Linked DNA regions of Xenopus tropicalis. The protein of the gene in region 2 interacts with the protein of the main gene of each other region in a pairwise test. Links are inferred from orthologs where the notes say so. Each region holds a gene or a part of one and is shown on either strand. Other genes may lie near its edges.

Region 1 (4,131 bases), on a different chromosome or scaffold from region 2:
CCAGCCACCAAAAAACTAGCTTGAGCAGTTCCTAATATTTTGCCACCCGCCCACTGAGTTAGAAATCAAATGAGTCGCAAAAGGCCACATTTTCAATGATAATCAGCCAGTGAGCTGGACCCAGGCAATTAGCATTCAAATCAAAGCAGTTTCCTGCAGAGATGAAGTCACATGGGTGAGCTGGCACATAGAACCTTTTCTGCTGCCATTATCTGGGAGAAAACATAGAAATCTGCAAGCTTTTACACGGTAAAGTTTTACATTCTAATTTTTGGGGTGTTTGCACTTAATAAATACCAGACATTCGAGTTTTTGAAACAACTCAAATTTGAGGTTTTTTTTTTTTTTTTTTTTTAAAGTGCCAAAATACCTAAATCGAAAGGAAAACAAACTCGACTGTTGATAAATCCCACCTTAGACCTTGTGTGAAAAAAAAAATGCGAAATGCTGTCACCACTCCATTGGGGTCATTTAGTTAATGAAGTGCAATTGCAGTCAGTTGCACAAAAATTACCCTTCTTTGAAGTTACTTACATCAACATGCAGTCCTTGCACTTCTGTACAGTTGCGCTCTGCACTTCTGCCTGTTTTGAATTGCACATAGTTGTGCCTACTGATGCAGGGAGAACCCTAGCACTACTGCCATCTCTGAACCAGGCAGTAGCTTCAGGGTACTCAAAGTTGCCTACTAAAATAGGTGCAGTGCAGAGGCACCAAAAGAACCACGCTAAATCCCAGATATAACATCTGACAGATCAAAAAATAAAATTGAAGATATAGATGGGGCACCAACACTTAAATAAAAAAATGCAAAAATAAATTGTGCATGAGGGTGTGCATGATCAAAAACATAAATGCAATTTAGGAAGAGAGAATATCAATTTTCTTTCTTTCTTCCTTAATTGCAAAAAATAAAATTTCAGTGTTTACGATTTGCATCAAACGAAGTCATTTTTGACACACAACCCATAATCCTGTCAACTCTCCCTGGCAACCACAACAAAGCAATGGAATTCTGTGGGGGGGGGGGGGGGGGGAGCTTCCCAGTGGGTAGAAAACATGGTGATTGCATTTGGAAGTGCACTCTGTATCTGTGGTATCTTAAAGGAACAGTAACATCAAAAAATTATTATGTTTTAAAGTAATCAAAATATAATGTGCTGTTGCTCTGCAAAAAAAAATTGTGTTTTTGCTACAGAAAAGCTACTTTATAAATAAGCTGCTGTGTAGCCATGGGGGCAGCCATTCAAGCTGGAAAAAAGGCACAGGTTACATAGCAGATAACTAGTTGATAAGCCCCATATAATGAGGGTTTATCTGTTATCTGCTAAGTAACCTGTGCCTTTTCTCCTTTGAATGGCTGCCCCCATGGCTACACAGCAGCTTACTTATATAAATTATAGTAGTCTTTCTGAGGCAAACACACCAGTTGTACCAATGCAGGGCAACAGTACATTATATTGTAATTACTTTTATACACTTTCATTTTTTGGTGTTACTGTTCCTTTAATGACCCCTTGTCTGTGTCTGCCAAGCTGCTTTACATTAAAGTAACAGTAACATCAAAAAATGAAAGGCTACTCTAGTTTATATAAACAAAGCTGCTGTGTAGCCATGGGGGCAGCCATTCAAAGAAGAAAAGGCACAGGTTACATAGCAGATAACCGATAAGCTCTGTAAAATATAATGGAGCATTATTTGTTATCTGCTAAGTACCCTGTGCCTTTTTCCCCCCAATCTGAATGGCTGCCCCCATGGCTACACAGCAGCTTATTTATATAAACTATAGTAGGAAATCTGTAGCAAACATGCCAGTTTTACCAGTGCAAGGCAACAGTACATTTTAATTACTTTAAAAGGCTAACATTTTTTGGCATTACTGTTCCTTTAAGTAAATGTGTAAATTGTATAATGAATATGTGGAATAGGTAACAGTCTCTCTGCAACATGTAGGAAGTTGAATTGCATTGATCATCATAAATAATCATAAGTTAAATAATCATAATCATAAATAAAAGAAAAAAATAAACCAACAAAATATGACACCAGCACTACTGTTAAACTACAGAAATCCTGGTAATACACTTTGGGACAACGTGCATAGAAATAGTTAATTCTCACAAAGTGGTCAGACTTCTGAAGGATGCCATGGGTTTTGTACCGCTAAAACCTATGCATTATGATGTATTTCATGTGTGGATACACTTATGCAATTCTCTTAGCAACACAATTAGAGGTGGGTCACTTTTCAGGCATTCATTGCCTAGAAACACTAAAACCCGGTATTGATCCAAAACTGAGCCCCAGGGAGCCTTCAATCAGGAGAAAAGAGCAATGAAACACTGACCCCAGTCAAATGACCAACACTGCCAAGTCACGTGACAAGAGAATAGCCAACATCAGGCACCTAGCTCAGTACCTCCTCGCCGACCAAAGACGAACCCACATAACCTCGGACCGACAAATGTGATATCATAACCCAAAGGAATTTAAAAAAATCATAGCCAGGCGTACTATTCATTAGGGAAAAACGTTAGAGTTCAATTCTAACCTGCAAAAAATATAGTCAATAACCGCTTACATCCAAAACTCGCTCATATAAAAGCAACGACTACGTTTGAGACAGAAAACACGGCACGTGTTCCATTTAGCTGGGATAAAAAAAACAACAAAATCAACAATAAATAAATGTATTAATGCCTTCATACCCACGATAATGCACTGTATATTCAAGGTGGCTAGCGGTCTTCTCCGTCTAACAGCTTCTAGAAGGATCGAGGGAACAAGAGTCACATCCGGGAATCTTATGTAAAAGGAAAGAGAAGGGGGTGGTGAGACCACGATGACGCCTAGAGTCCGGAACCGGCAAATACTCAGGCTCCAATCCAACTGCGCGTTAGTGAGGGCGGGAACGTGCTGCCAATCGTGCCTGATGCGGTTCACTGCAGCACGCCTTGCGTTCCAACCGCTACGTGGCACTGAAATCAGTTGAATTGATTGACGACCACGTGAATTCTAAGAATTGGTATGGTTAAACACCACGAAAAACGCCTAATGATTTTTTTTACACTCACATACGTGGTGTTTTATCAGCCTTTTAAAATACGTGTCTGTCATATTAATGGCCGACAGAGATTTGCGTCCACTTGTATTCCGTAGGTCATAGTATATGCAGGCTCCGCCTTGTAGTGTATAGCTGTTGATGTTTCGTGTGTACCCACGCTAGGTAAGATTGTACATACATATATTTATACAAATTTGCGTCTTTGGAATTGTCTTAAGGGACAGCTTCCCTACCGAATAGCTGCAAGGCTTCACAGAAACGTGATAACTTTACAACATATAGCCATGCCGTTTAAAGAGCGAAGTTGTCATCTCATCAGAAGGGATGCTGCTTCTTTGTGACTGCAATAGACAATTCCAAGTTGCCCAGGGTCCAATATTGTAATCAGAAAACATGGGTCAAAGGCAATTTTTCATTACAAACAAGTACATTTATTACATGCCGAATACCCATGCTTTAAGCTTATCATATGAGCAGGACTACAAGGAGAAAACCAAGTGGAAATTGGTGGGCATAATTTACGGTTAATAGGGCTTGCAGGACATGAGTACAAGCAGCCAGCCTTGTATGTTGGTTGTCAACAATGGTTCTGTGGTTCTTGCTCCCTTTAAAAAGTTTATTGTAAGGTGCATTCATACATGGTTATCATAGCATTTCATCAGCCTTTCTATTCCCTTTATCAGCTTGTTCCCTCTTCTTTGAACTCTATCAATAAGGCTCTAGAGACCAAAACTGCTGCATATTTAAAGGAACAGTAACACCAAAAAATGAAAGTGTATAAAAGTAACTAAAATATAATGTGCTGCTGCCCTGCACTGGTAAAAGTTGTGTGTTTACTTCAGAAAGTCTACTATAATTTATATAAATAAGCTGCTATGCAGCTATGGAGGCAGCCATTCAAAGGAGAAAAGGCACAGGCACATAGCAGATAACAGATAAAACACTATTGTACTCTACAGAACTTATCTGTTATCTGCTATGTAACCTGTGCTTTTTCTCCCAGCTTGAATGGCTGCCCCCGTGGCTACACAGCAGCTTATTATATAAATTATAGTAGTGTTACTGTA
Region 2 (4,033 bases):
TTAAACCAGTAAAAATCATATTACGACAAAATTAAGAAAGGCAGATACAAACAGAAGGAACTAGCTTCACTAAAAAAAAAAAAAAACATGAGCTGATGACTTAACACAAAATTTATTTAAGTAAAAAAAAAAAAAAGTTAGGGCAGTCTTTCCCAATTAACTCTGCTTATCTGAGACCACTTCTTTGCAGAGCAAAATGCATTGCTTGGATTCTAAAGTGAACACACAAGTCACTGCACTTAAAAAAGTTTCCAGAACTAGGATGAGAAAAAAAAGTGTGGGTCTCTTACAGAAATGTAATGCAAAACCTGTATAACAGGTAACAAGTTGCTGCTCACTCCTATATTTGGCCTTATAGAAATATAGGCAGTTGACAACACCTAGTGCTGCTTGTGAACCTGCTTCCATCCTTCTAGCTCTTGTACATCACTGCTTTTGCTGTACAGCTTCTTTCCGTGCAGCGTCCTGGAGAAGCTGAGTGTCTACTTCATCAGCAGGGAGCTGTACATAGCGGACCACAGATCCCCGAATGAAACAATTCTTTACAGACAACTAAAAAAAAAATTTTTTAAATAATTACATTAACAAGTGTTTCAAAGCAGGATTAAAAGCTAAGTATCTAGTTTACTGGTGCAGATAAAAAATACAAAGAAAAAAAAAAAAGCTTACCATGTGTGGATATTTTTCTGGGTCTGTTACACTGATATCAGTCAGCTTAATGTTCAAATACTATAAAAAAAAAAAAAAGTGAAATCTTGTTTGAGATAATGAAAAACACAAGTTCCCCCCAAAAGTTCTATTCCAAGACATATTCCTCTATGCAGAATGCAAAAGATGATGTAGCACACTGATCACACATTAAATAAAGTGATTTATTGGCTTAATTAGCAGACATCTACTGGGAACATTTCAGCCAGTCTGAGAGTGACCCAAAACATTGCAAGAGTCGGTGCAACTTAATGCAACCACAATAACGGATCAGTGTGCTACAGCATCTTTGACCCTGGGCAGGTGGGTCTACAGACTGTTTAGCACCAGACACCTGAAAAGGTACTACGATAACAGGTAGAGCAGAGATATTCCTCTATGCAAACAAGCCCTCTAGGGTATAAAAAAAAAAAAATATGAGCAATATTCTCTTTGGAGAATCTTGTAGTAATTATGTTAATAAATATTCCCTGGTTTGACATTATACTCTGCAGGATGCGTACATTTTATTAAAGGCTCTGTCCCTTCAGGGGTTGTTCACCTTTGAATGAACTTTTAGTATGATGTGGACAGTGATAATTGGAGACAATTTGCAACTAGTCTTCATTATCGCAGTCTTTAATTAAATTTAGCTTTTTTTATTGCAGCTCTCCATTTTGGAATTGTAGGCGCTATCTGATTGCTAGGGTTTAATTTAACCTAGCGTTGTGGAAATTTCAGTAATGGTAAAGTCATTTAAAAGAAAATTTTCACTTTTTCATTTTTTTTTTGCCAACCCAACATTTTTCCCTGGCACTGAAAGATTTTATGCCAATTTCAGTTGCAAGGCTTAAGTGACAACATGGCTGAGCTGATAATTATGCTGAGAAAATAAACTACATTTATATATTTGCTCAGTTACTTACCTGATCAACTGAGTGTAGAGTACCACAGATACTGCAAGAGATAAGACCATTTATGTAATAGTGCAACAAAAGGCTAAATGGATGAAAGATGGCTAAATGGTAAAGAAGTGGTTATTTAAGGGTGTGAAGTCTACAGGAGCACAAGAAAATGTTTTTATAAATTCTGTCTACACAATACACTCTGCCCTCTAAAGTTTGACAATGGTCAGGGGGACTCTAAGTGCTGCTGCACCCACCGTGCTTACCTCTTTTGTGTTGGGCACATCACAAGTGCAGAAAGCACAACTGCACACACTGCACTAGGTTTAAGGGCTGTGACACACAGGGAGATTAGTCGACACGCAACAAGAAAGATTTGTTGCGCGGCGACTAATGTCCCCGTGTGTCACATCCCTTAAAGTACAGAAATTAGGTTCTTGAAATGTACCAGTGGCAGCTTTTTGCCTGACTGTATAGCATGTGGGGGGGGGGGGGGGGAAGCAATTCTAGAAAGAACATGGGGCAAAACACTCACCTCAGATCATTCTTCAGCTCTACCACCACATCCTTTCCTACAAGAGACTTGAAGAAGGAGTAGAATAGCTGTACATGATAAAAACAAGTAGTTATAAAAACCAGTTGCCTCTCCTGTAGCTTACCCAAGGCACATCACATAACAAATGTTGCCAAGATCCTTTACAGATCAAGGCAAAGCATGTTCTCTCATAAGACACAAACAATAACAGAGACAGACAAGTTGTTCTGTCCAACTAACATCAGGTTACAAATGATTGAAATGTTGTTGCAAAGCAGGGATGGCCAAATTCGAGCCCTCCCACTGCTATAAGACTACAAATCCCAGAATCCTGGTATAGGCAAAACATGGAACGTCAAAGCAGGGCATGGCCACTCAGAAAGCTGACCTTGCGACTATAGGGGGGGGGGACTGATTGCCAAACAGGTCTGTATACGCTGGTACACCACAAAATACATGGCTATCGACTCCTTAGGTTCTACCCTACAAAACGTGAAACAGTAACGGAACGCTAGTGTTCTTAAGCGGTTACCATTGCTTCTGTTGCAGTCGCACCACCCAAGCTCTATCTGGAAACTGAAGAACAAAACAGACGCCGCTGACAACGACAGATCTACACACCAAATGCCTTCCGCTCATTCACCGCTCTAGCGCCTCTGCATAAATCTCGCGAGAATTTAAAGCAGCAGGAATTTGCGCGCCGGCTTCAGGCACCGGCCGAATGAATGGGTCCCACGGTGATGACGCAATCATGATCTCGCGAGGACAGAAAACATTTTTTTCATGTAACTTTCTTGAGAAGTCCCCTAAACGTATTTTATCCCTGAACAACTAAAATACGTTAAAAAAAATACAGGTTTTATAAACTGGGAGCAGGTACTAAGTGTAACAAAGTATAGATTAGTTTATGAAACAGTAGAATAAAAATGAACTATATTAAGGTTAGGCACTCCACATTAGATCTGTAATGTCCAACCTTAAAATGTTTTTTTATTTTATTGTTTCTTCTGCCAGCAGAATTCTAACCTAGGGCCAAACTAGCGACAGTCAGACAAGAATCAGATTTATCTCTCCTTGTTCTTTGGATCCCTTTTTTGTATTTTTTTAATCCCTAACCTTTGGTTTGTCACTTGCCCACCTCCTGCCCTTTTTGAGCTTCTGCTCAGAGAAAATGTCCCTTGTACCAGTTTATTAAACAACTTTGGATTCCAGGTGTAACTACAGAGGCTGGAACTGCATTCTGACCCACAAACACAAACTATCAGTTCTTGCACAACAAACATCAATTGTAATGTTAAGGACCAATAATTACCAACTCCAGGTACAAGGCATGAGGGTTACGAGATAGCTAAAAGGAGTTACGCTGTCCATACCTGGGCTAGTTACTGTTAAAGGAGACATATCCTATAAAAATTATGAATGTGCCAGTGAATTATACTCCTCTAGATATAGAAGGAATGTGCTTAAAAAAGTTGTATTTCAGACAGATTTATTGAGAAATTCCCCCAAAACCCCACTAGTCCCCCCCATCTGCTCCACTTCCTGCTGGCTGAATTCTCTGGATGAGCTGGGGAGCCAGCGGCCCTCTATACACTGCACTGTAGGATAGGAACCAATCAGCAGCTAGGCTGACCTGATAGGGAACTGAAGCCTGTCTTTGCTTGTGTGAGTGCAGGTCTGTGATTGGCTCTCCCCCTCCTACTGTGCTTCTTGCAGGGACCGTTAGGACACGCCCACTCTTCATTTCAAACATGGTCAGAGAAGAGAGAGGATCTATAGGGAGCTCCAATAAAGGGGCCATTTTTACAAATAGGATTAATGTTTAGCCCAAAGGGAAACCAGCACCGTATATTATTCATAATTGCCTACAAAATTAGGGTTTTCCCCATTTATCAAATATGTCTCC

The links. The genes of interacting proteins can lie anywhere in the genome.
Region 1: the proteins of lsm2 (region 2) and dnaja1 interact in a two-hybrid assay, tested with the Homo sapiens proteins (2 studies listed by BioGRID and IntAct). The link is inferred for Xenopus tropicalis from reciprocal best matches to the Homo sapiens genes LSM2 and DNAJA1.

The regions. Positions count from the first base shown.
Region 1 is NC_030677.2:94,451,940-94,456,070, forward strand, and holds the start of dnaja1 (dnaJ homolog subfamily A member 1), read right to left. Parts: upstream 2,801-4,131; 5' UTR 2,709-2,800; intron 1-2,708.
Region 2 is NC_030684.2:75,103,095-75,107,127, forward strand, and holds lsm2 (U6 snRNA-associated Sm-like protein LSm2), read right to left. Parts: upstream 2,801-4,033; 5' UTR 2,663-2,800; coding exon 2,660-2,662; intron 2,196-2,659; coding exon 2,128-2,195; intron 1,645-2,127; coding exon 1,614-1,644; intron 730-1,613; coding exon 670-729; intron 553-669; coding exon 427-552; 3' UTR 94-426; downstream 1-93. UniProt on the Homo sapiens protein: Plays a role in pre-mRNA splicing as component of the U4/U6-U5 tri-snRNP complex that is involved in spliceosome assembly, and as component of the precatalytic spliceosome (spliceosome B complex).